6 linked regions of the Macaca fascicularis genome follow. The protein of the gene in region 6 interacts with the protein of the main gene of each other region in a pairwise test. Links are inferred from orthologs where the notes say so. Each region holds a gene or a part of one and is shown on either strand. Other genes may lie near its edges.

What was found.
Region 1: the proteins of KIFC3 (region 6) and CDR2 interact in binary tests that used the Homo sapiens proteins (3 or more experiments, as listed by UniProt). The two-hybrid records come from large-scale screens. The link is inferred for Macaca fascicularis from reciprocal best matches to the Homo sapiens genes KIFC3 and CDR2.
Region 2: the proteins of KIFC3 (region 6) and HSBP1 interact in binary tests that used the Homo sapiens proteins (3 or more experiments, as listed by UniProt). The two-hybrid records come from large-scale screens. The link is inferred for Macaca fascicularis from reciprocal best matches to the Homo sapiens genes KIFC3 and HSBP1.
Region 3: the proteins of KIFC3 (region 6) and DEUP1 interact in binary tests that used the Homo sapiens proteins (3 or more experiments, as listed by UniProt). The two-hybrid records come from large-scale screens. The link is inferred for Macaca fascicularis from reciprocal best matches to the Homo sapiens genes KIFC3 and DEUP1.
Region 4: the proteins of KIFC3 (region 6) and CBY2 interact in binary tests that used the Homo sapiens proteins (3 or more experiments, as listed by UniProt). The two-hybrid records come from large-scale screens. The link is inferred for Macaca fascicularis from reciprocal best matches to the Homo sapiens genes KIFC3 and CBY2.
Region 5: the proteins of KIFC3 (region 6) and DCTN2 interact in binary tests that used the Homo sapiens proteins (3 or more experiments, as listed by UniProt). The two-hybrid records come from large-scale screens. The link is inferred for Macaca fascicularis from reciprocal best matches to the Homo sapiens genes KIFC3 and DCTN2.

The regions. Positions count from the first base shown.
Region 1 is NC_088394.1:21,363,640-21,368,600, forward strand, and holds the start of CDR2 (cerebellar degeneration-related protein 2), read right to left. Parts: upstream 3,184-4,961; 5' UTR 2,870-3,183; coding exon 2,791-2,869; intron 1-2,790.
Region 2 is NC_088394.1:79,684,229-79,689,176, reverse strand, and holds the start of HSBP1 (heat shock factor-binding protein 1), read right to left. Parts: upstream 3,184-4,948; 5' UTR 3,103-3,183; coding exon 3,058-3,102; intron 2,500-3,057; coding exon 2,433-2,499; intron 1,865-2,432; coding exon 1,746-1,864; 3' UTR 1,744-1,745; intron 1-1,743. UniProt on the Homo sapiens protein: Negative regulator of the heat shock response. Negatively affects HSF1 DNA-binding activity. May have a role in the suppression of the activation of the stress response during the aging process.
Region 3 is NC_088388.1:92,363,616-92,368,616, reverse strand, and holds the start of DEUP1 (deuterosome assembly protein 1), read right to left. Parts: upstream 3,184-5,001; 5' UTR 3,153-3,183; intron 1,693-3,152; 5' UTR 1,649-1,692; coding exon 1,620-1,648; intron 1-1,619. UniProt on the Homo sapiens protein: Key structural component of the deuterosome, a structure that promotes de novo centriole amplification in multiciliated cells.
Region 4 is NC_088391.1:24,906,242-24,911,119, reverse strand, and holds the start of CBY2 (protein chibby homolog 2), read right to left. Parts: upstream 3,184-4,878; 5' UTR 3,113-3,183; coding exon 3,038-3,112; intron 2,739-3,037; coding exon 2,658-2,738; intron 1-2,657.
Region 5 is NC_088385.1:64,354,293-64,359,353, reverse strand, and holds the start of DCTN2 (dynactin subunit 2), read left to right. Parts: upstream 1-1,878; 5' UTR 1,879-1,993; coding exon 1,994-2,029; intron 2,030-2,953; coding exon 2,954-3,022; intron 3,023-5,061. UniProt on the Homo sapiens protein: Part of the dynactin complex that activates the molecular motor dynein for ultra-processive transport along microtubules. In the dynactin soulder domain, binds the ACTR1A filament and acts as a molecular ruler to determine the length.
Region 6 is NC_088394.1:53,965,788-53,970,900, forward strand, and holds the start of KIFC3 (kinesin-like protein KIFC3), read right to left. Parts: upstream 3,411-5,113; 5' UTR 3,315-3,410; coding exon 3,207-3,314; intron 1-3,206. UniProt on the Homo sapiens protein: Minus-end microtubule-dependent motor protein. Involved in apically targeted transport. Required for zonula adherens maintenance.

The sequences.
Region 1 (4,961 bases), about 33 Mb from region 6:
GGTGATATGCCCGCCTCGGCCTCCCAAAGTGCTGGGATTACAGGCATGAGCCACTGCACCCAGCCCAGACCTGTGTGGTTTTTTAAATTTTTTTTTTTTTTTTTTTTGAGACGGAGTCTCGCTCTGTCGCCGAGCCTGGAGTGCAGTGGTGCGATCTCGGCTTACTGCAAGCTCCACCTCCCGGGTTCACGCCATTCTCCTGCCTTAGCCTCCCAAGTAGCTGGGACTACAGGCGCCCACCACCATGCCCGGCTAATTTTTTATTTTTTGTATTTTTAGTAGAGACAGGGTTTCACCGTGTTAGCCAGGATGGTCTCGTTCTCCTGACCTCGTGATCCACCTGCCTCGGCCTCCCAAAGTGCTGGGATTACAGGCGTGAGCCACCGCGCCTGGCCAGACCTGTGTTTTTAACGTTAAACTTGAAGAGTTGATGACTTTATTTTGATCAGAGGTTAAAGAGAATTCCACGTGTAACCCTGACACGCTGCACTTGCTGCTTGATAGACTGAAGTGTTACAGCTGGTGGTTCCAAACAACCTCCAACAGTGGGAGAACGCAGCGTGGACTAAGGCACCTGATGGAAGAGAGCCATGAAAACACTTCTGTGCTAGTGCTTCAGTGCAGTTCAACAAATACTAAAATCGAGCTTCCAGTATGTGCCAAGTATTATGCTAGATGCTGGAAATACCAGAAAAAAGAACCTGCCCCCTCTATACCCTTAAGGATTTATGCTTCTTAAATTTTTTTTTTTTTAAGACAGAGTCTCGTGTCGCCCAGGCTGGAGTGCCGCGGCGCCATCTTGGCTCACTGCAACCTCCGCCTTCTATATTCAAGCAATTCTCCTGCCTCAGTCTCCTGAGTAGCTGGGATTACAGGCACATGCTAATTATAGGCACGCCTGGCTAATTTTTGTATTTTTAGTAGAGACGGGGTTTCACCTTGTTGGTCAGGCTGGGCTCAAACTCCTGATCTTGTGATCCACCCGCCGCGGCCTCCCAAAGTGTTGGGATTACAGGCGTGAGCCACCGCACCCGGCCTATGCTTCTTAAATACAGGAAAGAAAAATATTTAGTTGTGATGATACAAATTAAATTATAGGGAAATACTGCAATGGCACAGTGGTTGCCTCACAAATCCTGGAGAAACTATCAAACTAGGCCATCAATCCCTATGGGGAAATCTGAAAACAGGTTTGTTAAAATGTATGAGAAATTTGTCCTTTGGACATAAAGATGATGCCACCAAACACTGCACTGCAACCACTAAGCAGCTTGGACTCTATAAGCGTAATAAAGGTGAATTACTTTGGTTAAAGTGATTGCATGTTAATTTAAGAAATTATCTTCCTCCAAAAGGGGTGCTCATTTTATTTTCCTTTTCTGAGTTATTCAAGTCTACACAGTTTCCTTCTGCCATGTTCAGTGGTTAGCATGAACAAGCATCATCATCATTTAATATTTAACTAAATGAGATGTTAATTTTCACTGCAAGATTAGAGCTGAAAACATTTACATAGAATTGCAGAAACCAAAGATGCCGGGAAAAATTCCTGAGGATTATTCACAGTGTTCAGTATAGCGGTTAAGAATGTTTGCTCTCGAGTCTTAAGGGGAACCCTAGCACTCCCCAACATTATCACCTCTATTGTGTTACTGGGAGATAAATGAGCAACTCTGTTATGGGCCTATCAGTGTTAGGCACATCAAAAGTGTTCCCCAATTGCTAGCTCCTGCTATTAGTATAAAAAAAAGTGGGGCCCCACTGGCCCCAAAGTGTTGGCTGCTCTATGATTGTTCTCTGGAGACACCATCGGCAGGCCTATTTCTAAGTGAAAGCTGGCATGCAAACTGAAGAAAAGTGGCAGAGGTAGAAGCGCTCTTCTGTCATTTCAACTGGCATCTGGTGAACTATGCGTAACAGCTTAATTCCCAACTGAAAAAAAACCGTTAACTAGGATGGTAAGGAAGGGATGGGGGTTTGAGGAGTGCCTACAACTCCTCCTTTTGAGTGTGTGGGTTCAAAAAACACTCCCTCCCCCACTTAGCTTTAGGCAAGCCACTCAACCGTTTCAACCTCCGCTTTCCTCATCTGGAAAATGGGATAACAAAAGTTACTCTCAGTGTAATTGGATTGTTTGTACCTCAATGGATAAATGCTGGAAGGGATGGACGCCCCGTTCTCCATCACGTGCTTATTTCACACTGCGTGCCTGTATCCAAACATCTCACGTACCCCATAAATAGATACACCTACTATGTACCCTCAAAATTAATCAATTTTTTAAAAGTTACTGTCTCCTAGAGTTACGGCGCAGAGCGCACAGCTCCCGCTACATCGCAAAACCACTACCACCTGCAGCAGCCGGCCCTCCGTGCTGGCCAAGAAAGGCGCTGGGCTACACAGCCTGCGAGGGGGCGGCTTCTCGGGCTCTGCCACTTACTGCGGGACACACTGGCTCACCCGGTCTGCCTCGGAGGAATGCAGTGAGGATTAAACTAGCTAATCCACGGAAAGCGCTTAAAACGGTGCCTGGCGCGTCCCTGGCCCCCATGCGCCTCGGGGCTGATATTCAACTGCGCATTAGCAGGGCCATGGGCCCCGCGCCGAGGCTTCCTGCGGGCGGGATCCACGGGCACGGCCGGCCCCGCCGCCAGGTGAGCCCGAGCCCTTCCCGGCACCTGCATCCTCAGCCGCCAGAAAAAGCAACTTTTTAACAGTTTCGCAGCGGGGGCCTCCCGGGCCAGGCCGCCGCCGCCCACCCGCCCGCCCGCGGGGCGCCCCCGCCCTCACCTTGCTGGAGGTCCTGGTGGTCGTACCACGGCTCGTCCTCCTTCATTTCAAACTCCTCCACCAGGTTTTCCGCCAGCATCTCGGCTGGGTCCTCTAGGGGCAACGGTCCCAGCCGCCGCCGTCCCGCCTCAGCCGCTGCCCCGGGCTCTTCCCCGGCCCCTCCGCCCTCAGCCAGAGCCGCCCTCGGGCGGGACGCGCCGCCGCCCAGGCTCCGCCGCGCCGCCTCAGCCCCGTTCCCGCCGGCGACCGCCGCCGACCGGCCGGCTGCTTCGACTCGCCTAGCGCCTCCCAACGGCCCCAACGGCCGGGCGTTACGGCGCGAACGTAGGGAGCCAGGTTCTCACGCTGCCGCCGGTCTTCACGCCGCCGCCGGGCCCAACGTGGCACTTTGGCAGAACCCTCCCCGGCCGGGGATGCGATTCAAACCCCCGGCGGCTTCTCAACCAATCGCGAGCGGGCCGCTGGCCGAGCGACAGGGACTTCGTCCAATCGCGTCTCTCCAAAGACCCGCGGCTCGCCCGGTTTCGAGGCCAAGCAGCCAATGACGGGCCCCGAATAAACAAAGAAGGCGGGGAAACAGTGAAGGGGTGCGGCCGAAAGCCCGCCCCCTGATCTGCGCTGTGCGGCTCCTAGGAGCGCGTACTAGGTTCCGGGCTGTGGAGCTGGCGGAGGCGAGTCCTGCCGCTTTGGTGGGTGTCCCGAGGCCAGCGCGTCCGTGGACAGGCAGCGCAGGCCGGAGGGCCTAGGACTTCGGCCTCTGAGAGGCGGGTGGTTGTCGAGAGGCGTCCTTCGTGCCGGCGGGAAGCGCGAGGGTGCCGGAAGCCGGAGGTCCGCCGCCCGGCTGCCGCTTCTCGCATGTTGACTCTGAGATTTGCTCCGGGTCCGGCAAGGAGACTCGGAGTCGATCGGGAGTTTAGGGCTGAGAAAACGCCCACTGAGCGGTAGCTCTTGTCTCGTTGACATCTGAGCTCTGGGAATTACGCTCCCTAAAACGGTGGGCGCCAGACCCCGTTGAGAATCTGGGGCAGTGAGGGATGCCCGAAGCTGTCCACTTGGAGGGGGAAAATTGTAAGCAGGGTTGCAACGATTTTTAAAAGGTACCTCTAGACCACAAGTTAAGCATCTGGGGACGTGGCATTGCACCTGGAGGGGTCAGGCTGCAGCCCCAGCACTTAGTAGCCAGCAAGGCAGAGCACGCTGTCCTCCACCGACATAACCCAGCAAATACTGCTCATGAGTAAAGCTTTTAGCACCATCTTACAGACAAAGCACGGAAACTCTTAAGCAGGATGACAGACCAGAAGGTCAATGTTCTCAACCTTGACGTAAAGGTAAAATTGCAGCTGATGGAAGACAGCAGGGCCAATATCTAGCTAACTTTGAGCAACGAAACAAAAAAATCGAGGTTTAAGTATATAATTGAAAGATTATCTCTAGAACATAAGGTAATAAACTGTTAGAAATTCGGAAAGAGGGAAGAGGTGGAGAGGAGTGTTAGTTAAATCCTGATCTATTTTAGCAGTGAGTCGACAGATAATACCTTACATTGATAATCCAATAAATCGTTTCCACAAATATGGAGAGAGCTGCCAGAACTAAAAATGGGAAGCAGTTAAGAGTTTTCCGAGGCCGGACGCGGTGGCTCACGCCTGTAATTTAGCATTTTGGAAGACCGAGGCGGGCGGATCACCTGAGGTCGGGAGTTCGAGACCAGCCTGACCAACTTGGAGAAACCCCCATCTCTACTAAAAATACAAAATTAGCCAGGCATGGTGGCGCATGCCTGTAATCCCAACTACTTGGAAGGCTGAGGCAGGAGAATTGCTTGAAACCCGGGAGGCGGAGGTTGCAGTGAGCCAAGATCGCACCGTTGCACTCCAGCCTGGGCAAAAGGAGCGAAACTCCGTCTGGAAAAAAAAAAAAAAAAAAAAAGTTTTCCTAAGAGGAGGTGTGAGTTGAGGCTGGGGACTTTGGCTTTTTGTTATAAACCCTTCTGTGATCTTGCTTTTTAAGCACTTGCACGTTAAAAATAAGGGAAATTGTAGGGAAGGAATTATAGACTCAAGCTACTTTTGTCTTTCTGTATAAAACAAAAAGGACTTGGGTAATTTGAAGAGGGGAAAAACTCATCCTAAATAATTGTTGTGGGTAATAAAATTCAGGGTGTCTCT
Region 2 (4,948 bases), about 26 Mb from region 6:
CTACAATCCTGAAATTCTTGTGGCAAGATTCTCAGTCGGCTGATGGGAGTTTTGGCTGCCACATAACATAAAAAGAGACCCACAGATGCATCGAAGACTGGTAGGACATTTTTCCAAATTATCTCTGGATAAGAATAATGATGACATCACCCATAGAAAGCAGTTATGTGATGTACTCACATAGTGAATAAACCCTACCCATCGTAAAGATAAAAGCAAAGTTAAGAGTGTGTCTTCAACATCCCAAATCTGTATTTCGCAGTAACTTAAAATGTGGTCCAGAGCAAGCCCAGAAAATAGGAAACTAGGCATCTTTTACTGTATATTCTGCTTGGTGCACTACCTATCTAAAAATACTCAGGATTTTATTTTTTCATTTTTTTTTTGAGACAGAGTCTTGCTCTATCACCCAGGCTGGAGTGCAGTAGCATGATCATGGCTCACTGCAAACTCTGCCTCCTGAGTTCAAAGGATTCTCCTGTCTCAGCCTGCCGAGTAGCTGGGATTACAGGCGTGCACCACCACGCCCATTTTTGTAGAGACAGGGTTTCACCATGTTGGCCAGGCTGGTCTCGAGCTCCTCACATCAAGTGATCTGCGCGCCTTTGCCTCCCAAAGTGCTGGAATTACAGGCATGAGCCACCACGTGCCAGCAACCGTTTTTTTTTTTGAGACGAGTCTCACTCTGTCGCCCAGGCTGGAGTGCAGTGGCGCGATCTCAACTGCAACCTCTGCCTCCCTGGGTAACATTCATTTTTATAGAGAATTAAAACGTTATACATGAAACATGAGAAAAGGGAGTTTAAAACTTATTTTTCACATATACAGAGGAAAAGGACTGTGCACTCAGTGCACCTATCTTGCTATTGGGTAGTTTTAATGGGCTTTCCTCTGACATCTGAAACTATTCAGTGGAAATTTAAATGAACTCCAGAGTAAAAGCTTAATGTGGCCACAATCTAGTTTACCTATGTCAAGTTACCAAGCAAGTCTCCAGAATTTAAGCCATTTAAGAAGGTGGTAATGTGGGCGACTTATCAGCGATCCCCTCCACCGCCCCCCGCCTCCCAAGAAAAGCAATGGAAAATCTTCCAGTGACAGGCTTTATAGGCCAACAAAAACCCCTTTATTAGCTGGAATGATAAAAACTCAGTGGTTATCTAATGTTAGCCAGTTGTCTTAACTAACAGTGACAGAAGTCTAATTAATAAAAACTGGGAAAATAAATTCAGTGTAAAGAATGAGTTTGGCATGAAAAATTCCAAAACATGAAGTCCACAGCGGGTAAAGAATACAGGGATGTTTGCTGGGATCATGGCTGGGAACTGATCTACAGAATGTCTGACTACATCAAAATTATACTTACAGGTTCTATTCTTTTAAGGGAAAAAAAAAAGGCCGGGCACGGTGGCTCACACCTGTAATCCCAGTACTTCCAGAGGCTGAGGTGGGCGGATCACTTGAGGTCAGAATTCGAGACCAGCCTGACCAACATGGAGAAACCCCATCTCTACTAAGAATACAAAATTAGCTGGGCGTCGTGGCGCAAGCCTGTAATCCCAGCTACTCGGGAGGCTGAGGCAGGAGAATCCCTTGAACCCAGGAGACAAAGGTTGTGGTGAGCCGAGATTGTGCCATTGCACTCCAGCCTGGGCAACAAGAGCAAAACTCCGTGTTAAAAAAAAAAAAAAACAAAAAGAAAAGAAAAAAAGAAACAACAAAAAAAATTGCCCCCTTCCTCACCTTCAACTCTTTTGTGTGGCAGGTATCTTGTTTTCACCTTCCAGTTCTTCCACCCCAGCCTGTGTCATGAGGTCTGCGATGTTCTTCTCCAGATCATCAATGCGACTACTCATATCATCAAGTGGTGAAGTTAAAGACAACGCGTGCCAACATCTCCTCATTGAGCCCTTTCCTTCCGTCCCTGTAGACTACGGCCTTAAACACAACGATTTTAGGGAAACAGGTCTTCCAATTTCCTTTAGACACTGTTACAGGCTGGTGGGTAAGAGTATAGGCCTCTGGGGCATGGCTACCCAGCATCGGTTTCCGGCCCTGACCCTTACTAGTGATGGAACCCCTAAACCTCAATTTATGCATTTGCTAAAGATGGTAACACTACAACCCACTCATAAGGTCATGCTGAGTATCAAAAGAAAGACACACACAAAAACGCTTAGTTCACAGTCCATGGTCAACCACACCAGCTATTAGGATTGGTAGATGTACGCTCCTTGAGCCAGGGATCTGTCTAGCTCAGCTGTACCCCGAGCTCTCGGCGCAGTCCTTCTTGGAAACACAGTACAATCCAAGCTCAAATTCTGTAAGTGACTGGCTGAAGCTGGCCTGAAAACTACTCATTTATCCCCACCGCTGCCCGGCAAAGAGACTCCAAAGGCCCACAGGAGGCCCACTACAGATAAAAAGGATATTTCTCCCAATGATCTGGTCAGACATGGTCTGAAATTTATCTTGCATCTGCTGCAGGAGTGTCTGCACCTAAGAAAAACCGAAACAAACAAACATGGTCCACACTGATCCTGAGACACCTTCCTGGGATCAGGACGTGAGCTCCGGTCTCGGGTTCCAGCCCCATTTCTGCCTCTGGGCAGCTGTGCCGCCTTCAGCAAGGATCTTCCTTCTCGGGGCTTCCGTTTTCCCACCTGTCTAATTAGACTGGTGGGCTGGGGAGGCCGCTGCGACTCAAAGTTCAGGGTCTTTAGGCTGTTTCTGCCGGGTTGGGGCACCCGGGGGTGTGTAAGGAGTCGAAGGGCGGGGAGGGTGTCAGAGGGAGGCAGGAGGGGCCCGGGGGGCGTTCGCCACAGGTGAATGGGGCTACCGGAGGGGGTCGGGCTTGGGAGCGCCCGCGGGGAGACGGGTCCGCACCGAGCGCCCAGGGGGTCAAGGTGGCCGGGAGCCTCGGCCAGAGACGCTTCCAGAAACGGGGCCTCGGCAGACGCCACGCGCGATCGCGGTGGGCGCGCCTCTGTCCAGCAGGGCCTGGCCCGGCGCCGCCCGAGAATGCCGCGGCCTCGGGCCCTCACAGCCATCCCTTACCACCGAGGTGAGGTCCTGCACGGTCTTGGGGTCAGTCTCGGCCATCTCCCCGACGCCCAGCTTGGCGGTTATGTCTCAGACCGTAACCTACACTTCCGTTTGTCGGCTCAGACGCCCCCGCCCGCTGCTTCTCGCGACGAGACTGGCTGCTCGCGGGACCGCGGGGCATTATGGGAGTAGTAGTTTCTCCCGCACCGGAAGGGCCTCGAGGCCGAGCGCTTCCGTTCCAAGGAGCGGCCCCACCCCACGCTCCCCGCCCTCTTTTGCATAGCCCCTCCCCTCCCCAGCGTGCCGTTGGTGGAGTGGGAAGTGAGACCAACTCAGAAATGGAGCAATAGAGGCAGGGAGTGGCCTTGGCCCCCATTCCAGGCTGTAGTCAGTCGAAAGACGGCTCTGGGTTTCTTTGGCCTGTCAGGACGAACTTACTGAACTTTTGTCCTTCAACAAGACCCACTATACCCTTGTAACTGCCCCCAAGTCAAGGAACATGAGCCCCCCGGAAGCCCTATGGCCCCTGTCCTGTCCTGTCCTGTCCTGTCATCTCCACCCTGAGGGTGGCCAGCGTCCGGAGTTTAACCCTGCAGGTTCATTGTGCCCGTCAGGTTCATATGAGGGGATTCAGACAGGAAGCTGTCCATCATGTCTGGCTTCTTGCACTCCACGCGATGCCTACTGTTGAGTGGGGAAGGCTTCCGGCATCAGGGTTAGACTGTGGGTTTGGGTGTTGAAGGAGGTGGGCACTGCTGAGGTGGAACCTCTAGTTCCAACCCCACAGATGGTCTTTAGGATTGGGTCTCAGGGCAAGGGGATAGGAGAGTCCTTGACTGCGGGCCTGGCAAGGAGATGTGTGAAAGTTCTGGAAACTTTCACACATCTCATTTAAGGACTGCTGTGTGTGAGGGTCAGCTCCAGTTTGAGTTTAGGTGGGGAGAGTCTGTAAGGGGTTAGACCTGTTACAGGAAAGGGTCCTGATCCAGACCCCAAGAGATGGGGTTCTTGGATCTCCTGCAAGAAAGAATTCAGGGCGAGTCTGTAAAGTGAAAGCAAGTTTAAGAAAGTGAAGGAATAAAAGAATGATTACTCCATAGACAGAGCCCCGAGGGCTGCTGGTTGCTCATTTTTATGGTTATTTCTTGATTGTATGCTAAACAAGGGGTGGGTGATTCATACCTCCCCTTTTTAGACCATATAGGGTAACTTCTTGATGTTGCCATGGCATTTGTATACTGTCATGGCGCTAATGGGAGTGTAGCAATGAGGACAAACAGGGTTCATTCTCATTGCCATCCTGGTTTTGGTGGGTTTTGGCCGGCTTCTTTACTGCAAGCTGTTTTATCAGCAAGGTCTTTATGACCTGTACCTTGTGCTGACCTCCTATCCCAATCCTGTGACTTACAATCCTTTTAACTGTCTGGGAATGCAGCCCAGTAGGTCTCAGCCTCAGTTTACCCAGCTCCTATTCGAGATGGAGTTGCTCTTGTTCAAACGCCTCTGCGAGACCCACCAGTGTCTCTAACAAACCTGGAATCCAGTTGGCCTTGAGGCATAAGACTCAACTCCCTTCACCACCCCTTCCCCCTCACTTACACCTTTGCCTCTCACCCTACACACCTCATCCTTCCCTACAGAGAGATCTTCCTTTCTGTGTAAGGATGCACAACTTTTTTTGTATTTGGCTGTTGTCAACTGGTGTTTGGCTAGTACTTCACCCGACTACTTGAAATAAACATACTCAGTGTTTTAACTTAATCCTCAGAAGACCCTGTGATATAATTATCATAATTTTACATTATTGAGAAAACAGACGCAGAGGCATTAAGAAACTGGAACAAGGTCATCAAATTAAGGAAGTAAGAGATGCAGGACTTCCTTTTTTCTCACCATTCTAGAA
Region 3 (5,001 bases), on a different chromosome or scaffold from region 6:
TCTGCATCTTAACTCTTAGTGCTATCATCACACCACGGACCCAACACATACTTAACTCAGAATCCTAACTTGGCTCTACTATGGATACCAGGCAGGCTGCTCCCTGCATCTCATTGCCACCCATTTCCAACGCAGAAAGGAACACAGGGATTGGAGCCAGGCATACCTGAATTCAAATCCTACTTTCTTTACTAACCTGGTGTATATTCTAGGATGACCTCCTGCTTTTTTTGGTCTTTCTACCTTTCTGAGGCTGAATGTGGTAGAGGATGCTAGTTTTTCACCAATATCCATTCTTCCTCCTTTGTTCTAGAACTTCTAAGCTTCGTCTGATCATATGGTTGCCTAGTTACAGACCATATTTCCCAGCCTTTCTTGCTGTTAGTTGTAACTCTGGGATTAAGTTCTGGCCAATGGAAAATGAACAGAAGTGAGACCTGCCATTTCCATGTTATACTCCTAAAAGAAAATGTCTTACTCTCTCCTCTTGCCCTTCTCCTTCCCTATGGAAGGAGCACAGTCATGATGACAGAGCACACTTATGATGGTAGGAGCTGAAACAACCACTTTGGTCCTAGAGATAGAAATCGTTAGTGAAGATGGCAGAGTTGCCAAACCAATCCTGGTCTGCGCATCTTGGGCGAGCATAGCACCTGTGACAAGTATGTGAAACAAATAATCTTCAATCTTACTTAAGCTGCTGTTTTTGGAGTCTCTTTGTTATAAGAGCTTAGACTGTACTGTAATATATTTACTTTTCTTAGTTGTAAAACGATAATAATACCTAGCAGGGCTGTTGTAAGAAGGAGTATGCAGTAGCAGCTAAAAAGTGATAGCTATGATTGTTATTCAAACTTGTGCAGCTTTCTTTCAGCCTGACATTAAAGTTATGGTCTGGGCAGAATTTCTGAAAGTGAGACAACTGAAGTGGTGTGACTAGTGCCAAAGTCAGCTGCAATCAAGATTAGGCACTATACAACCACCCCTTCACCCCCTCATTCCCCAAACGCTGTGTTCAGCCAGTGGTCAGTTGGCTAGTGATTGGAAGACAAAACTCTGTGATGCTGGTAGCAGGTAAAGAGTTAGGACAGATATTTGTAAACAGGAATTTGATTTCTACAATGACAAATGCTATACAAATTTTATTTTTATCTCTTCGTGAAACTTTTGGTAAAATATCTAGTTCTTGATGATGTTTTTATGGAGTTGGATCTATTCTCAGCCTATGTTTAAGTGTTGAGTTCAGCCTTAAGGGGCAAGAGTAGAGGGAAACTTGAGATAATGCAGCAAAAAAGGAGCAAGCTGTCGAAGAGAGGTTGCATTGTGGTAATAGAAGAGCACATGAGGCCTGCCTCAGCATCCATCACCCTTAGATATTGGACAGTCACTAAGAGTTGGAAAACAGTGATTTTTTTGAGTGCAGATCTGTAGTGTCAAAATCAGAAACTCTCGCATTATAATTCTTAATTACAGTCACTTGATATTTCCTCTCATCTGCCTCACCAAAAATAATTGGCATATCCTTCTCTTAATAGTAAATTTCAAAATTCATGTGTTCTCAGGAAGTTTTTGGCATAGTTAAGTACATACTTATAAAACAGAAATTTCTCAGCACTTACCCCATTGTATTATGGGCTTGGTTCTCCATGTCAAGAAACTGCTACATCTGGTTTATATTTCTTGATTTTTAATCTGTTAGGGGGAAAATGATCCAAATTCCTAAAATGTTTACATTCATTAACCTATAAAACAGGAAAATTTAGCTACTGGCAAAACCCACTTAGTATGAGTTTTTCTGTGTAGTAGCTCTTGATCCTACAAAATATAGAAACTTGAGTTTTCTGTTTTGGTTTTTTGTTTGTTTTTTGAGACGGAGTCTTGCTCTGTCGCCCAGGCTGGAGTGCAGTGGCACGCTCTCAGCTCACTGCAACCTCTGCCTCCCGGGTTCTAGCGATTCTCCTGCCTCAGCCTCCTGAGTAGCTGGGACAGGCAATTGCCACCACGCCTGGCTAAGTTTTGTATTTTTAGTAGGGACGGGGTTTCAGCATATTGATCAGGCTGGTCTCAGACTCCTGACCTCGTGATCTGCCCACCTTGGCCTCCCAAACTTGAGTTTTTTTGTTTAGCGACCCCTATGCATTTATGATATTGACTTAGTGATGAATTGAAATATGTGGTACTGACTAAAATGAGCATCCATTTACTACTTATTGAATAATAGCTTGGTACTATATTGTCTGCAAAGGACTCAGTACATGAGAACGAGTAAAACAGAATTCCCATTAAAAGAGAAATTCTAGCCAGATGTTCTCAAACTTTCTATTCTTGTGGATCCAATAAAGGTGTGCCTTTATTTGAGTACATTCTTTCTTTGGCCCTCTCTGGATTTTGTTAGGATGAATATAACTATGAGATTTAAGACAAAAAGGCTACGAATGCCTTTAAAAAGAAATCTTGAAATTCTTCAATGGCTCTATGGGCACTGGCTCACCTCTTGACAAAATAGGGACGTTAGTATTTGCCTAAAGTAAAAAAAAAAAAATGTTTTTCTCAGTAACAAAATTATAGTTAAAAAATAATCTATGACGATAACTGGAGAAAGTATTGAGAAGGACTTCAACTCTTCCGAATCACTGAATAAAAGTCAATTAAAGAGCATTCAAGGAGGTAGAAAGAGGAGGAAGATTCGAGCTCGCATCACTTCCAAACCGAAGAGTTTAGGAGAGACCCTGGAACTGTGTGTGGGACAGAGCAGAGAGGAGCAAGGGATGGTGAAGGAAAACGTGACCAGAACGCGCAGACCTATAAATGGTTTTGTAGATTCTCAAATCTCTCACTTAAACGTCAGGGAAACTGAGGCACAGACAAGCTAAGTGGCTTGCCCAAGGCCACACGACTAAAGCCCAGGCCTTCCAACTTAGGGCGCAGCTCTGCTCTGGATATGCATGGGTGGGCCTCCCCTCCCAGCCTCTGTCCCCGCGCCACGCGCCCCTCCAGGACCCGCGCTCGGTTCAAGCCCAGCTTCCCACAGAGCGGCTGCCCTTTTGGGGTCCCCCTGTCCCGCTCAGGGACCCGCGCCAGCCCGGGGGACAGCCTGGCCTTTGGGTGAGGGTCAGGGGCGAGGCGTGGCCGGGAAGGCCAAGAGCCATTACCTGCGCTGCGCGGCGCTCGCCCGAGAGGTCTGAGGCCGGGGGCGCAGGACCGCGTAGGTCACCTCCCACCTGGCCAGGCCCGCCCCAAGGGGCCTCGCCACCCGCCTCTGCGCTCCCGCCGCCTGGGCCCTCCTGCCGCGCGACCAACCAGGCAGTTGGGCCTCTCCCTCCCAGCGCTCAGCGCTGCCGCTTGTTGCCATGGGGACGTCGCGGCCCGAACTCGTGGCCGTCGGAGTGGGGGATGGGCGCGGCGGCGGTAGGCGCTGCCCTGTGGGGGGTTCCTCGGCTGCCTTCAACCTCGCCCCGCGCGAGCGCGACCTCGCTATCCCGCAGTTATGTGTCCAGTGCCCCCTCTATTCTGGGTCCTTTCCTCATTGTAGTCCCACTGCCCTACCCCAGGGCCCGGCACCCAAGCTGCAGCCCGGAAATACTGGTTGAATAAATGAACCAAAGAGATCACGAAGGAACTGTAAACAGCTGGGATTCATCATCCAGGTTCTTTAAATCCCCTTGGCCCTCTTTCCTCTTACTCAAATTTGAAGTGGTATGAAAAAGAAATAAACTTGGGGTAAAGAGAACTGCTTTTCTCTCCGTGCACCCTAGTGTCTTACAGCTGGGAGGAGCTGGATTTCGTCGCTCAGCCCCGGTTCCTGTGGTGATTAACAGCATCTGCTTGTACCTGGCTTTCCAAGCGCGATGGGTCCTTAACTGCTAGTCAGGCGAGCGGACAGTGTTGCCTCCCTTCTGGGAGAAGGGAAGAGCTTCTAAGAGAAGCTGGAACGAAACTCAATGGGACTGACTCCGGATTCTTTCCTTTTTCCACCAAATTCCAAGAGTCATTGATGACAGAATTTCTGTCTCTCTTCATTTCATAGAGGAAATAATAGAAAATAATATATATTTTCCAACTGACATCTCGAGTGATTTGTTTTAAGCACTTGAATTTTGTGTTTGATTTATTTTAACCAAAGAATTCCTTCCTAATACATGGAGGCGACTACTTAATTCTTAAAGTCTTTTATTTGCACTTTACTTTCATCACTTTAATGCTAATTTGCTACTTTAATATTCCATGAATTTAATGCGCATCTACATCCCTCCGTCCAGGTTCCAACTGAATTTTATAAAACCATTATGCTGTTTCTTGACAAATTGAGCTTCATAGATGAATTGTATATAGTCACCTGGGATATTAGTTCTAATAAGTGTTTCATAGCTCTCATGTTTGCATGAAGAGGGTGACTGTGTTATCTTAACTTGAAACTTTTCATTATTCTGAAAACTCTTAGTTATTCTTGTCTGAATTGAATGGGTCACTGTATTTTTTTTCTAACCCAAGGAAGGGAAAATGAAACTAGCAACGAAATTTAATGAAATCTCAGGATGCCCAAGATCACTAAGGCTATGTAACATTGGTAAGTACTTCCATGTTCATTATTTCTTTAGAGGCTCAGAAATACACTCAGCAAGTGTATCAGGTGTTATTTATAGCTCCTTTCAGAAGATTAGGAAACCCAGGCTTAGAGAGAATGAAGGATATGTCCATGGACTTGTCCATCTATTTGCACTTGAAATGGATGATACCTCAAGATATAAACCTAGATCATCTTACTCCAAATCCAGTGTTCTCCAAACATTAAGGTTGAGTTGGTTTCTTTAGCAGTCAGGATCTTCCTTAGCAAACTGTAGGTTTCATGTTTTCACATGGAAGAATAGGTGCAGGGGAATGCTTGCAAAAACATGTGAGAAGACACATACTATAATGGATTTTAGGAAAATTTAAATATAGAATAGGAACATCCCATTCAATTTAATACAAATAAAGGTTTTCATTTCAGGATGAGAGTTA
Region 4 (4,878 bases), on a different chromosome or scaffold from region 6:
TTGTGAAATCTTCCTGGGAACCGTTATTCAAATTGGCGGCGATCTGGCTGCTGTCAGCAGGAATTCACTGCTTCTGAGGAACAAGCCCAAACAAAGGGGAAGGAGAAAAGGCAACTGGGAAGGATGAAGATGGCACTGGTGTGTGCTATTGGAGCTCAGTCTGACCTGGTGTAGCTCTTTCATTAATGATCTAGGAGTAAACAATGCCTTAATGAAATTCACAGAGCATGCTCACTGGGGAAATGTGAAAGTCTTTGAGAACTGAATCATTACGTGCAAAAGGAACCAGGAGATCAGCTAGCTTGGGCTGGAAATGGCATTGATGGCTTGCAAGTTAATGTGCTGGAGGGAAATAGATCAGAAAACACAAATATTTAATGTGAGGAAGAAAAACGGGAAATCAATGCGTCCTGAAAAGACCTAAGGGTGATAACAAGTAGTGATCACAGGCATTTGCAATGTAATTGAGAAGCCTAAACACACAGCAGGACTGGGAGCTGGGAAGCAGAGGCACTTTCTAGAGACAGAGCTGCTGCCACAAGTCCTTTCTGAAACAAATGGAAAGTGGATTCCATCCCAGAATAGAGTAGCTTTTGGCAAATACAAAATAAGAAGCCCAGAGATGAGCGGTTAAGATGCGGGGAGAAGACTCCATCTCCAAAGAGCAAAAGAAGAACCACAGAGCTAAGATGCAGCGTGGCCCAGCTTAGTGGCATGTGCCCTGGTATAGCGGAGAACATGGGCACTGATTGGAGTTCAAGCCCCTTCCTCCATCTCTGCCATTACTAGTGGGGTTCCTGGGGTTGCCAGTTCCTGTACCTGTAAAATCTCTACCTCACACTTACTTGGCACCGTGCTCAACACATGATCGCACTAACATTCAGTCGATATTTCTTCCTCTCCTTGCTTCCCAGATCAACCCTGTCCCCTAAGCCATGCACCATCTCATCTAGGGAGGCCGAGTGAGCACATTGGTCCCTCTCGCAGCCCTGGTGGTATTTTGGTTCAGATTATCTACTTGTAGACACCCACACCCGTCCCCAGAGTGCCAGTCTTGAGCATCCTGACAGGTGTCCAAAACCTGGTGCATGGCTTGTGCCCTCTTGGCAGGTGTATACACCTTCCCGTGAGAGGTACACATGCCCAGACAGGAGATATCCTCTCATTCTTCACCCACTCTGCCCCCACAGGACCCCAGCAGCAGCACCAGGTCCTCCAGAACAGTAATCAGGCAGCCCCAAGACAAGCTTGAGCTGTCTTAAACCACATTCTCTTCTCTTTGATTGCTGGGCTGTTTCTGGGAGCTGGGGAGGGAAAGTTACGGTAGGTGTTGATGGAAACATCATTCCAATTTCTCTATCACATGACCACTACTCTTTCAAATCCTATCCCCTCCTTCACACCCACCTCTAGGTTGGCATCCTCTGCCTGACCAAGTTTCTTAAACACCAACTTTGCCAACATTACTGAGGGTTACTATCAGAGAACGTTCAGCCATCTGAGGTACTTTCAAAGCATGTAAAGTTGAGAGGCCCCAGGATTCTGGAAGAAAAGATTGGTTTATATGGGCCATGAGGCATCACAGCAGTAACACCCACTCTTGGGGAAGCAGTGGCCAACACAACTCCCTGCATATTTCAGGTGGAAAGAATCAGGCCCAAAAAGATTCCTACAGCTTGTTATCCTGTCGAATGATCAGGGGGAAGTTATCTTATATTCTAGCTAAGATTCAAGTCATAGAAAAGTGACTGTTCATTACAAAGTTATAAAGATAATGTGAAAATAAACATCCAGGATGTTTTCTTCTTCCATATGTTTGCCTCCCACTGAACATACTTGCCTAGATTGTTACAATTATATCTGGAATGCTCACCAGTGGTCAATCCTCCTCCTACACATCCCTGGACAGAGCTCTCAGATAGTTACCTCTGCTTTGGATTCCTCCATCCTACATTTCAACCCCTCTGGTTGCATGGCCCTGGTCTTCCAATGAGGCCTTAGGTGACTCTGGAGAAAGCAAAGCCACCCCTTTGTGACATAGCATCAGTAGACACAATTCAATCAAGAAGACTCCACTAAGGAAAGAGCTGATTTCAGGCAGGAGGAGACCTGAGAATCTCTAGCCTGTGAGGACTTCACCAATTCATTGACCACAAAAGCATCTATGCCCATGGCCCCTACATCTGTCTTTGGTGCATAGCAGGGCTTAATTCTCTTGACAACTCCAAATAACTCTGTACCCCTCTGTCCATGAAGGAGGTTTTCTTCTCATGGATTCATTCTTATGCATTTGATTCCAAGTCCCAGTTCTAATTCTCCTCTAGAAATCCAAAGTGAATGCACAACACTAAGCACCAAAAGGTCTCGTTTTGAGAAGGTTGGGTTACTTCAGAGTATCATAGAAACTTGGAATGTTAGGACTGGAAGTTCTTACCAAACCATCTGACCCAACCACCTCATTCGTGGGAAAAAGAACCCAAGGCCCACAGGGGCTATGTGGCCTTCCCCAGCACGCTGCCTGCTGGCAGCCAACCCAAACTAGAACCTGAAGCCCTATCTCTGCTTATTCTACAACATCTTGCTAGAGTTTTGAAGGAGGAGGTAGGGGGTTATTCTGGCTAACACCGATAGGTTACATCCTCTGTGATTATCCCTACCTGAGGTAGAACCACATTGATTGGAATTTCTAGGCTTTCAGATCTGGTATCTCTTTTTCTTGTAAAATTTGGCCTTGAGTGCTGTGGAAAAGAGAAAAGAAGAAGATTGCTGCTTCCCAACTCATCCTCTGGGCCTCAATTGCTCACCTAAAAAACATAGAACTTTCTCCTCATTTATTTCCCTCTTGTCAGTTATGTACAATTATGAAAGTCTGGAAGAATGTGTAGACGATATCTGGCAAGACGGTTTATCAATCTCTGAACAGATATTAAGCTAGATATTATAGTTGATGTAAAAGACTTTTGAAAGTCTTTGACGCGGAGATAACTGTACCTGCTTGCCTAAGATGATTATTTCTATCTCAAGTAAAAAGCCATACCAATGTGAGTTGCCAGGTATAGGTCCTATGCAGAAGTTGGTCACCAAAACACTCAGAACATTCCAGAGGTGACATCACAAAACAATAGGGTGTTTTTCAGGGCTCATGGTTTCTGTCTGAGCATCACAGGTGGGAATGAGGCATCTGACAGGCAGGAAGAACCTGTGGGGGCTGTGACTACTTGGCCGGTCAGGGTCAGTGTGACACACAATAGCTCAAACATTAGCCCCCTGTTGGGTCATCCCAGCTGCCATTTGTATTCTCACTGCCAGGCTAAGTTGAGACCCCTAGTTTCTCTCCAGAAGTGGCGTCTTCTTGGAGTTCGGTCACTCAAGAAGAAGGAAACACAACTGAACTCTTCCCACACCAAGCGAGAAAGTATAGTCTGAGGTGTTTTCTGACACTACTCAATTCCTTAATTCTCTGACATCAACTGTGTGCCCTACAATTCCATTTCATTCTGATGCTATCTACCTGGAGTTAGTGTGATAGAGCTGAAGGGGCTTACTGCCCAATGCAATAGAAGCCAATACTAAAACACTACGTTCTTTAAAAAAGAAAAACTTGTATATTCAAAGTCAACTCCCAAGGAGACAAGAGTCAAACTCAAACCGGTCTCTCGGTGCTGACATTAAGGCAGTATTTTTATTAGAAAAGTTTCCGGGGGTAGATTCCGAGATTAGTAGGTGATTGGTAGATGGAAATGGGAGATATGGAAAGTCCCAAAGAGTAAGAAATCAGTAACTAACAGAAATTTTTGAGTTTCGGGATAGCAGATAAGAAAAGAAATTTAAGCTGCTGAAACTCCCTCCACTTGTGAGATCTAGAAAAACCTGGCGGAAATTGGTTGGAACCAAAATGGCTGACTGGAGCTTGCACACAATAAGCTTGCTGATGTCGTAGCCTGAATTTCCACCACATGTTTTGTACTAATTCCCCCTGAATTTGCACATGCAACTCAGGAGTTAACATGAAGAAATAACTGTGCATGCCCAAGGACTTTCCAGACCTCCCTTTTCCTTGTACCAATCACCTGCTAATCTCAGAATCCACCCCCTGAACCTTTTCCAATAAAAATACTGCTTTAATGCCAGCACAGAGAGACAAATTTGAGCTTGACTCCTGCCTCCTTCAGAGGTGACTTTTAATATAAAGCTTTTCTTTTTTTCAAAAACTTGGTGTCAGTATTGGCTTCTAGCATATTGGGCAGTGAGCCCCTTTTGCTTGATAACAAACTAGAACCCCAGGTGAGACGAACAGCCTGTTCAAGGTACTGTTGCCCCTAGTGGTGTGCAGGCCCCCTGCACTGATCCTGAGTAGCCACCTAGACCAGTGCGTTCAGAGGCTCAACTATAGGGTTCCTGCTTCTCTACCATGGCACTTCAGGTTCCCTTGGCACTTTTCCTTTGGGAAAAGAAATTGCTTCTGGATTAGACATCTTTCTGGTGAGTACCTTGTTAATACGTACCTGTACTTTTAATTGTCTTTGAACTCATCATAAGGACTGTGGGTTCAGGTCCCACCCTGTGGTTTAGGATTATGGATGAGAGTCCCACCCTTGTCTAGGACTGTGGGTTTGAGTCCTACCCAAGGGGGATTCTGGTCAGGTTAGAGTCCCAAATCTGGTGTATGTTCAAGTCACAAAGAATTAAGGCAATAGTAAAAAGCTGCAGCCACTGAGATAATCTAGTCTGGTTCTGATTTTTGTTGATCTGTCTGTATTTTTGGTCTGTGTATCAATGTTTGGCTTAACAAAGGTTAAAGACTGTGATGGCTCCAGCAGAAGCCTTATGAGAGCTCCAGAGCAGTTTATCCGCACACTCAATTAGAACAAAGCAACT
Region 5 (5,061 bases), on a different chromosome or scaffold from region 6:
AGTCCAACATAATGAATGGGACAGAAAAGTGGTAGGACTATGGAGAAAGGGATAGAGGCTTGGGGAGGAGCCAGGAGAAAGAAAGACAATGAGTTCCGAATTCAGGAACTCTCTAGTCACTTGGTTTGGCACAATTTCTAAGTGTTGCAGCATCCTGCAAGCTCAGGAAACATCCTGGGAAACATCCCATCCTTGGGTCCCCAGGGCCTCCAAGGTGGCATCTTTAGTAAAGGGGTTTCAAAATGCCAGTCCATGGAGGGTCACTGGTCAGAGACAAAAGTTCACTGAGTATGCCTTCACCTCCAAAAGAACAATGGTGAGTTGTTGTTGTTGTTGTTGTTTAATATAAAGCTGGATTTGATAAGTTTCAAAAGACTATCTTTTATTCTGAGTGTGTCCTTCCTGCTTTTCTACTAAGTAATGATTGTGACAGTAAACAGTAGGTTTTCTGTTTGTAATATACTTACTTGATAAGAAAGTAAATCTTCAAGGTTTGTAGTTGTTTTAATTTTATTGAACGATGAAATTTATTTATTTATTTATTTATTTATTTATTTATTTATTTTTTTGAGACGGAGTCTCGCTCTGTCGCCGGGGCTGGAGCGCAGTGGCCGGATCTCAGCTCACTGCAAGCTCCGCCTCCCGGGTTTACGCCATTCTCCTGCCTCAGCCTCCTGTGTAGCTGGGACTACAGGCGCCCGCCACCTCGCCCGGCTAGTTTTTTGTATTTTTTTAGTAGAGACGGGGTTTCACCGTGTTCGCCAGGATGGTCTCGATCTCCTGACCTCGTGATCCGCCCGTCTCGGCCTCCCAAAGTGCTGGGATTACAGGCTTGAGCCACCGCGCCCGGCCGAACGATGAAATTTAAAAGTCTGAGAACGGGAGGTAAGAATGGTGAATAGGTACAAAAAATTAGAAAGTATAATAAGACCTACTATTTGATGGCACAATAGGGTGACTATAGTCAAGAATAACTCAATTGTACATTTTTAAATAACTTGAGTGTAATTGGATTATTTGTAACTTAAAGGATAAATGCTTGAGAGGATGGATACCCTCTTCTCCGTGATGTGCTCATTTCACATTGCATGCCTGTATCAAAATATCTCATGTCCCATAAATACATACACCTGTGTACCCACAAAATTGAAAAAATTGAAAAATAAATAAAAGTCTGAGAACTATTAACAAAGCGGTTAAGAACACAGAGTGTTCAGACAGACATGGAGACACCACTTATCTATTTATGAACTTCAGATAAGATTGCCAGATTTGAAAAACAAAAAACAAAAACAGGATGCCCAGTTAAAGTTGAATTTCAGATACATAATTATTTGGGGGTTAGTATACCCACACACACCCACACACACCACACACCACACACACACACCTACTTATTATCTAAAATTCAAATTATCTGAAAGCCCTTACTTGAGAAGATTGCCTAACTTTTTCATTCCTAACTTACACTAAGCGTTTACTAAATTTTACTTCTTGTTTTTATTTTGTTTTTATAATACACAGTATCAAGCAAACTTGTTGTTTTTGAAACCCTGGCTGTGTCACTTATGACTAGCTGTATGATTTAATCTAGTCATTTTATTCCTGGGAGCCCAAAACAGGAATTATAAATGTTCTTTCATTGACTAGCTGAAATAGCTTCCCAAGGTTCGTTATTGTCGCTCCCCGCCCAAGCTCCGGTACACCAAAACTACACATCCCACAATCCTTGGCGGCGTCCCTTGGCCATTACCTCATTCCCTGGCCTCGTTCTCCCCAGTCCCGGCCTCTCCAGGGGTGTGGCAGCGGGGCTGTTCTCGCGACTTTTGCTTTACCCTTCTGCTGTGCTACTGCTGCCGCGAGACTTCCTGCTCATCTGCCGCTCCCTTTGCCGCCGCCTTAGCCCGGGACCCGAACCCAGCCTCTCCCCTATCCGAACACCGGCCCCGGCTCCTCCGAGGCAACGGTCCCCCAGCCCCGTCTCGCCGCCGCCATGGCGGACCCTAAATACGCCGACCTTCCCGGCATTGTGAGTACAAGGCCGGCCCCGGCTTCCCAGGACCGCGCCCCCGACCTCCCAAGGACCCCCAACAGAAACCAGCCCGCGACCCCTCCCGCCTGCAGCCCATCTTCCGCCCAAGGGCTCCCGCCGCTCGTTCTCCGACCGGCCGCAGCACCCCCCGAACTCTTCTGACCCGACTGGGCCGGGCAGCCGGACGGCTCACCAGGCCCCCTTTACGGCAGTCGCCGGTAGCTCGGCCCAGAAATCGACTCCGGGTACTGACCGCTTGTGCCCGGGTGTTTCCACCATCCGTGTCAGCGCCGCCCATGCCCCCGCCAAATCTCTCCATAAGACCCCCACATCCCTAGCCCAGACACACACACTAGACCACTTAGCGATTACCTTCATCCTGACAAGGAAAAGGTTACCATGGCAGAACCCTCTTGTGCCAGATCGGGAGCTCTATCCTTGGGGGAACCTGTGCCCTCCCCCACCTCCCACTCCCATGACAATCCTGGCGTGTACCTTTTGTGCTGCCCTGCCTGCTTCTCAAGGTGTGGGTTGGGACACAGGACCTTGAGTACTAAGGTCCTGAGTCACTCTCAATCCTTGTGCCAGGGTAGTGGTGTACAGGGCCTAATTGGAGGATAGCCCTCACCTTCTTCGGCAGTAGTGATTGCCAAGGACCTGCCCGCTTCTAGATTTAGGGTAACATCGTTGCTATCACTTACACTCACCGTTTACTGTCAGGTCCCAGTTGTCTCCGCTGTCATCCCTACCCCTTGAGACATGGGAATTGACATACTGTTGACTCACGGGGCAGGTGGAGGAGAAAGGACAGAACCCTGGCATCACACCCTGCCTTCTCCGTTAGCTTATTTAAATGGAGTGGGGTAAGGGGTGTTGCGATGCTGGATAGTGAGGTTGGGTGGTCACTGCTTCTACCTGCAGGCCAGGAATGAGCCAGATGTTTATGAAACCAGCGACCTGCCTGAGGATGATCAAGCGGAGTTTGATGCGGTAAGAATGTGTGCTGCCACAGATTCCTCCGAACTCTGACCTTTCTCCCCTAGACAGGTCCTTCCCTTTCTCTGGGGAACTACAGCAATAAGCGGGTATGCCAACCCCAGCCTGGGTGGTATATAGGTTGCAGGACTTGAAAAGACCTTGCTGGGCTTGCAGCCACCAATGAGCAACGGCAGGAGGGAGAGTCATGTCAGTGGAATTACAGCTAACAACATCTGTTTGCAAAGCCCTGATCCTTGGACCTTTTAAATAAAATTGAAATATCTCAAAACAGATTTGGGGCTAGTGACTTAGGCCCCTGGGTTCTAACCCATGGAAATGAATCATGAAGCCTGGGCACTTGTAATAAACTGCTACCGAGAACTAGACTTTGAAATATAGAGAAATACTTTTAAAATATGAATACCCAGTATCCACTGGGCAAGGAATTAAGAAAGTGATTCCAAGATTTTAGAGTAAAACAAATTTGAGGAAGAATTTCATATCAGCAGAGGTGAGATTGTGGTTGCATTTTTAGATCTGAGAACTCTGAGGATGGAGTAATTAGGTGCGGACACATTTTAACTATGAGGGGAAACACTTAGCATGGTTTATTGAATGTGTTCATTCTGTGTTTTTTTTTTTTTTTTGTGCAATGCAGAGGAAGAAATGTCACTGCCCCCAATGAGCCCCAGACTAATGGGGAATTAGGATACATATAGGAAACGTATAGAAGGAAAAAACAACAACAACAAAATTGAGTGAATGGAAATCAACATAGTAAAAACTCTGTTTAAGTGCCAAGGGGTGTGTTTATAGGATGTGTTTTAGGTTCTATTATTTCTGAAGAGAGCTGCGCTGGGATCACATTGGTGATGTGAGTTCTCAGTAAAGGTGTGTCCAAGAGTCATTGCAATATGCAGGCTCAGTTTGCTTGTCTGTAAGTCCTGTGGCTATTGTCTGTGGGGCTCGTTAGTTCTGGGGAATGCTGACTGCTGGCTTACAATGTATGGCTTGGCGTACTCACTTATTTCTTACTTGACTCCCCCATGTGGAAGTGGTTCTTACATTGTGGGAAACACCTTCTCTGTCCCTTCTCCCAGTGGTGTGGTCCTTGTGGCTTCCGTATTTGCTGGCATGCCAATCTATCCCCCAAGCTTGAGTATCTTGGAGATAATGCAGATGATGATGTTGCTCAAGAACCTGGGTGTGCACCTGTCACTCCAAGAGGCATCTTATAGGAAGCTGCCTCTGTCCTCACAGAATAGGAGTGTATACAGTTGGTTCTCTGTGTTTATGGGCTCTAAACCCATGGATTCAACCAACCACGAATGGGAAATATTTTTTAAAAATAAAAAATAGGCCCAATGCAGTGGCTCATACCTATAATCCCAGCACTTTGGGAGGCTGAGGCAGGTGGATCATTTGAGGTCAGGAGTTCGAGACCACGTCTCTACTAAAAAATACAAAAATTAGCAAGGTGTGGTGGCGAACACTTACAGTCCCAGCTACTAGGGAGGCTGAGGCAGGAGAATTGCTTGAACCCGGGAGGTGGAGGTTGCAGTGAGCCGAGATTGCGCCACTGCACCCCAGCCTGGGCAACAGCAAGACTCTGTCTCAAAAAAAAACCATTACAACAATAAAAAGAATACAATGAGATCACTTGGACACAGGAAAGGAAGCATCACACACTGGGTCCTATTGTGGGGAGGGGGGAAGGGGAAGGGAAAGCATTAGGAGATATACCTAATGTAAATGATGAGTTAATGGGTGCAGCACACCAACATGGCACATGTGTATATATATATGTAACAAACCTGCATGTTGTGCACATGTACCCTAGAACTTAAAGTATAAAAAAAAAAGAATACAAAATTTAAAAACACAATATAACAACTATTTACATAGCATTTACATTGTACTAGGTATTTTAAGTAATCTAGAGATGATTTAAAGTATACAAGAGGATATGTGTGGGCTATATGCAGATACTATGCCAATTTATACAGAAGATGTGAACATATGCAGATTTTAGTATCAAGGGAGGTCCTGCA
Region 6 (5,113 bases):
CCGCGGAAGTCATACACCAGTTACAGTGGGAGGGCAACTGTGTAGGTCACTACAAACGGAACCATTAGTTTCATCTCCATGTTCCCCACAAACATTTAAAATAAAATCAAGGCCAAATGCAGTGACTCACACTTGTAATCCCAGCACTTTGGGAGGCTGAGGCAGGCAGACCACTTGAGGTCAGGAGTTGGAGACCAGCCTGGCCAACATGGTGAAACCTTGTCTCTACTAAAAATACAAAAATTAGCCAGGTGTGGTGGTGCATGCCTGTAGTCTCAGCTACTCAGGAGGCTGAGGAGGAAGGATGGCTTGAATCCAGGAGGCAGAGGTTGCAGTGAGCTGAGATTGCGCCACTGCACTCCAGCCTGGGCAACAGAGTGAGACTCTGTCTCAAAAATGAAATAAAATAAAAACAAGCGGGGCAGGTGGAGCTCCCTTAATTCCTCCCTAGGAAATTCTATAAAGGCAGAGTAAAATTTAGAAAATCAAACTGGGGCAGTGGCTCACACCTGTAATTCCAGCACTTTGGGAAGCAGAGGCAGGTGGATAACCTGAAGTCAGGAGTTCAAGACCAGCCTGACCAACGTGGCGAAACCCCATCTCTACTGAAAATACAAAATTAGCTGGGCATGGTGACATATGCCTGTAATCCCAGCTATTCAGGAGGCTGAGGCAGGAGAATCGCTTGAACCTGGGAGGAGGAGGTGGCAGTGAGCCAAAGATCATGCATTGCACTCCAGCCTGGGCAACAAGAGTGAAACTCTGTCTCAAAAATTTTTAAAAATTTAAAAAAAGAAAATCAAACTGGATATCCAAATGATAATTAAATTACATATGTTCATTCATTACCACTGCTGTTACCAGAAAATGGGTCTTGTCCCAGACTCCAAGAGTGGGCTCTTAGATCTCACTTTCTCGGGAAAGAATTCAGGGCAAGTTGCAGAGTACAGCAAAGTTAAGATAGTTTGTTAGAGACTATTATGGAGTAAGGCTTCCTCAGAAAGCAAAAGGAGGAATGCCCCTACTTTAAAATTTTTATTTATTTATTTATTTATTTAGATACAAGATCTCACTCTGTCACTGAGGCTGGAGTACAGTGGCACTATCATGGCTTACTATAGCCTCAATTTCCTAGGCTCAATTAATCCTTCCACCTCTGCCTCCCAAGTAGCTGAGTTACAGGTACACACCACCATGGCTGGCTAACTTTTGTATCTTTTGTAAAGATAAGGTTTTTTCATGTTGGCCAGGCTGGTCTTCAACTCCTGAGCTGAAGAGATCCATCCATCTCAGCCTCCCAAAGTGCTGGGATTACAGGCGTGAGCCACCATGCCTGGCCAAGAATGCCTCACCTTAAACATAGTGCTTGCTTATATAGGTTGTTAAGAATAGCATACTTCATTACAAAGACTTTTGATCAGCTTGTGACGGGCTATTAGTATTGTTATTTTCCTATGTTACTACTGATTTCCACAAGAATTTATGTGTGTACTATTATCTTTAAAGTAAAATCTATTCTTAAACTAAGAATGCTTTTTGTTCTTGAAATATTGGGACGTTTCCATAAGTTCTGGGTCTTTATTTGGTAAGTTAGCATCATTAACTCATCCCCTCAACCATAAATATCTTGTGACCAACAGTGTCAACCCCCTGGGAATGCTGCCCAGCAGGATTGGCTTTACTTAGCCTTTATTCAGGATGGAGTCTCTCTGGTCAGGACATCTCTGACACTATTAACCTTCTATCTCAATGTCTTTCCCTCTCTCACCACGCAACCTTAGATAATTAATTTGTTAATTACCAATCTCATAAATGAAACAATGCTGACCAGGGCAAATGGCTGGTCTGGATGTTCCCAAGGATGTATTGCAGGCGGCAGGAAGGACGATGGACCCAGCATCCACTTTACCCGGGGACGATCATAAAACAATTTGCACCATGGTACTGAGGGCCAGAAGGCCAGAAGACAGCCATGTGATCAAAATAATCTTTCCTAGGCCAGGTGCGGTAGCTCACACCTGTAATCCCAGCACTATGGGAGGCCAAGGCAGGTGGATCACTTGTGGCCAGGAGTTCAAGACCGGCCTAACCAACACGGCAAAACCCTGTCTCTACTAAAAATACAAAAATCAGCCGGGCGTGATGGTGTGCACCTGTAATCCCAGCTACTTGGGAGGCTGTGGCACGAGAATCACTTGAACCTGGGAGGTGGAGGTTGCAGTGAGGCAGGATTGTGCCACTGCACTCCAGCCTGGGCAACAGAGTGAAACTCTGCCTCAAAATAATAAAAATAATAACAATAATGTTTCCCACAGGTAAAATATTTTCAAGCGGAAGGAGTGGAAGTACTAGCCAGTCATATATATAGATCATCAAGGAATAAGGATGAGCTTCCGGAAGCGAATTCTGGCAGCTGGGCTTACCTGCTACTCCCTGGGAGCTTTTTGGCGCCTTTATTATTATTATTATTGTTCTTTAATTTTCTGTCTGGAATAGCTGGGACTACAGGTGCACACCACCACATATGGCTACTTTTTTTTTTTTCTTTTAGTACAGACAGGGTCTTGCCCAGGCTGGTCTCAAACTCCTGAGCTCAAATGATCCTCCCGCCTCAGTCTCTCAAAGTGCTGGGATTACAGGTGTGAGCCACCGTGCCTGGCTGAGATTTCATCAAGCTACTTAGAACATCATGCAACTTAGAATTTATGAATTGTTTATTTCTGGAATTTTCCATTTAATATTTTTGGACCTTGGGGCCTAACCAACACGGCAAACCCTGTCTCTACTAAAAATACAAAAATCAGCCAGGTGTGATGGTGCGCACCTGTAATCCCAGCTATTTGGGAGGCTGTGGCACGAGAATCACTTGAACCTGGGAGGTAGAGGTTGCAGTGAGGCAAGAGGGTTACTGAAACCTCAGAAAGCAAAACTGTGGATAAGAGAGGATTACTATACTGCCATAAAGTTGCATTTTTAAAATAATTTCAAACATTGTATCCAAGTAATATGTGTATTCAATTAAAATTTCATCCCTTCAGTGTTTTATAAGTAATTCAAATACCAGAGTGGTAACCATCTTCTAGGAATATTAGTTACAATCCCAATCACTGTTTTTCAAAAAGATGTTGTCAGTCCTGCTCCTGAAATTTCTCTCCAACAGGTCTCCTCCTCCCATTCCCACTGCCCCAACCCAGCCAGGCCCTTACCTCGCACTGCTCCGGGACGCCAGCCTCCAATCTGAGGCTTTCCTGGTGTCTGGGCTTCCATGCAGCTGTCAGAGTGTTCTTCCTGAAAAGAAACTCCATCCATGCCATTTTCCGAGCAATACGCTTTACTGGGTTGTCCTGTAGCCTTCAGGATAAAGTACAGATTCCTAAGCATGACACCTCGGATGAAGTATTTTCCAGTCTGTTCCCTCCTTTCCAGATTACCACCTGCCCCTTTGACCCTGCCCTTTGGTCATTAGCTACAATCAGCTGCTCTCTCCAGCAAGCCTCACTAGCTCTCCAAGCCTTCCCCCATGATGCTCTCTGCCCAGACTGCCCTTCCTCCTGTTCCTCTGCCTACAAGATCCGACGTGCCCTTCAGCCTCCAATGTTAGTTCACCAAAATCTTCCCTTTGAATTACGAATGCAGCTGGCTGCAAACTCCTCCAAGTGACCAGAGTGTCCTATAATCACCTCTATGATAGCATCTTTGATTTAGGGGGTGATTTTTCTTTTTTTCTTTTCTTTTTTTTTTTTTTTTTTTTTTTTTGCATTTCTGAATTTCCTAAGAGAATGTGAATTCCTAGAATCCTAGGAATTCTCATCTGATTTTTATTCCCAACATAGCACCATGCAAAGCAAAAAGTAGGTACCCAATAACTGCTTTTGGAATGAATGAATGAATCAATGAATGGTACCATGCAGCTGCCAAAGTGCTTTCTGCAAAGCAACTCTGACCTTGTTGCTCTCTGAGCTGTGCTCCTTCCTGGGTGATGAGGTAACACTGGAAGCTATTAACAGATAAGAGAGAAAAAAAAAGGAGGGGAGAGATCTCTGGGGCTCTGACAAATTACTTATTTTCACTGAGTTTCTGTTTCCTCATTTGTAAAACAAAAGTGCTGCCCGGATGAGCTCTGAAGGCATCTTCCAGTTCTCAAATTCCAGCCTGCTTGGCTCCCAAACAACTTTCCTGGAGTCTCTGGCAGCTATAACCCAAGTCTTAGCACCATCTAGTGATAAACAGGCACACAGCTGGGAGGGAAGGCCGGGGAGTGGGGAGGGTGGATAAGAGAAGGAATGCCAACCTTAATTATATTATGAGCTGGCAAGGAATTAGGTCAAACCTGCAAATACGAAGTTAAAACTAAGAGGCCTAACTTTATCCTGGGGATGGAATAACTAATTAGCTTCAGAACATGGATGAAGTAGACAATTATAGAATGCCTGAGACATGGAAAAGACAATAAAACAATTCCTGTGTACCCTGGCCCTCTGGTTCTTTTATCAATTTACTGCTTGTTACTGTAATTAAAGTTTTCTTGGGAGGACATGTGCTTTTGAAGGGCCTATGGCATGGGACTCTAATAACTCAATAAAACCACAAATTTATTAAGAATATATATGTATTTTTCAAATTTCTTCTTATTTATTTATTTATTTGAGACAAGGTCTTGCTCTGTTGTCCAGGCCGGAGTGCAGTGCCATGATCATGGCTCACTGCAACCTCGAACCCCTGGGCTCAAGCAATTCTCCCACCGCAGCCTCCTGAGTAGTGAGGACTACAGGGATGTGCCACCATGCCCAGCTAATTTTAAAATTTTCAGCCAGGCACGGTGGCTCACGCCTGTAAATCTCAGCATTTTTGGAGGCTGAGGCAGGTAGCTCACGCAGTCAGGAGTTTGAGACCAGCCTGGCCAGCATGGTGAAACCCCATCTCTACTAAAAATACAAAAATTGGCTAGACATGGTGGTGCGTGCCTGTAATCCCAGCTACTCAGGAGGCTGAGGTAGGAGACTCTTACCCCGGGAAATGGAGGTTGCAATGAGCCGAGATCCTGCCACTGCACTCCAGCCTGGGCGACAAAGCGAGACTGTCTCGGAAAAAAAAAAAAAAAAAATTCTTTTTT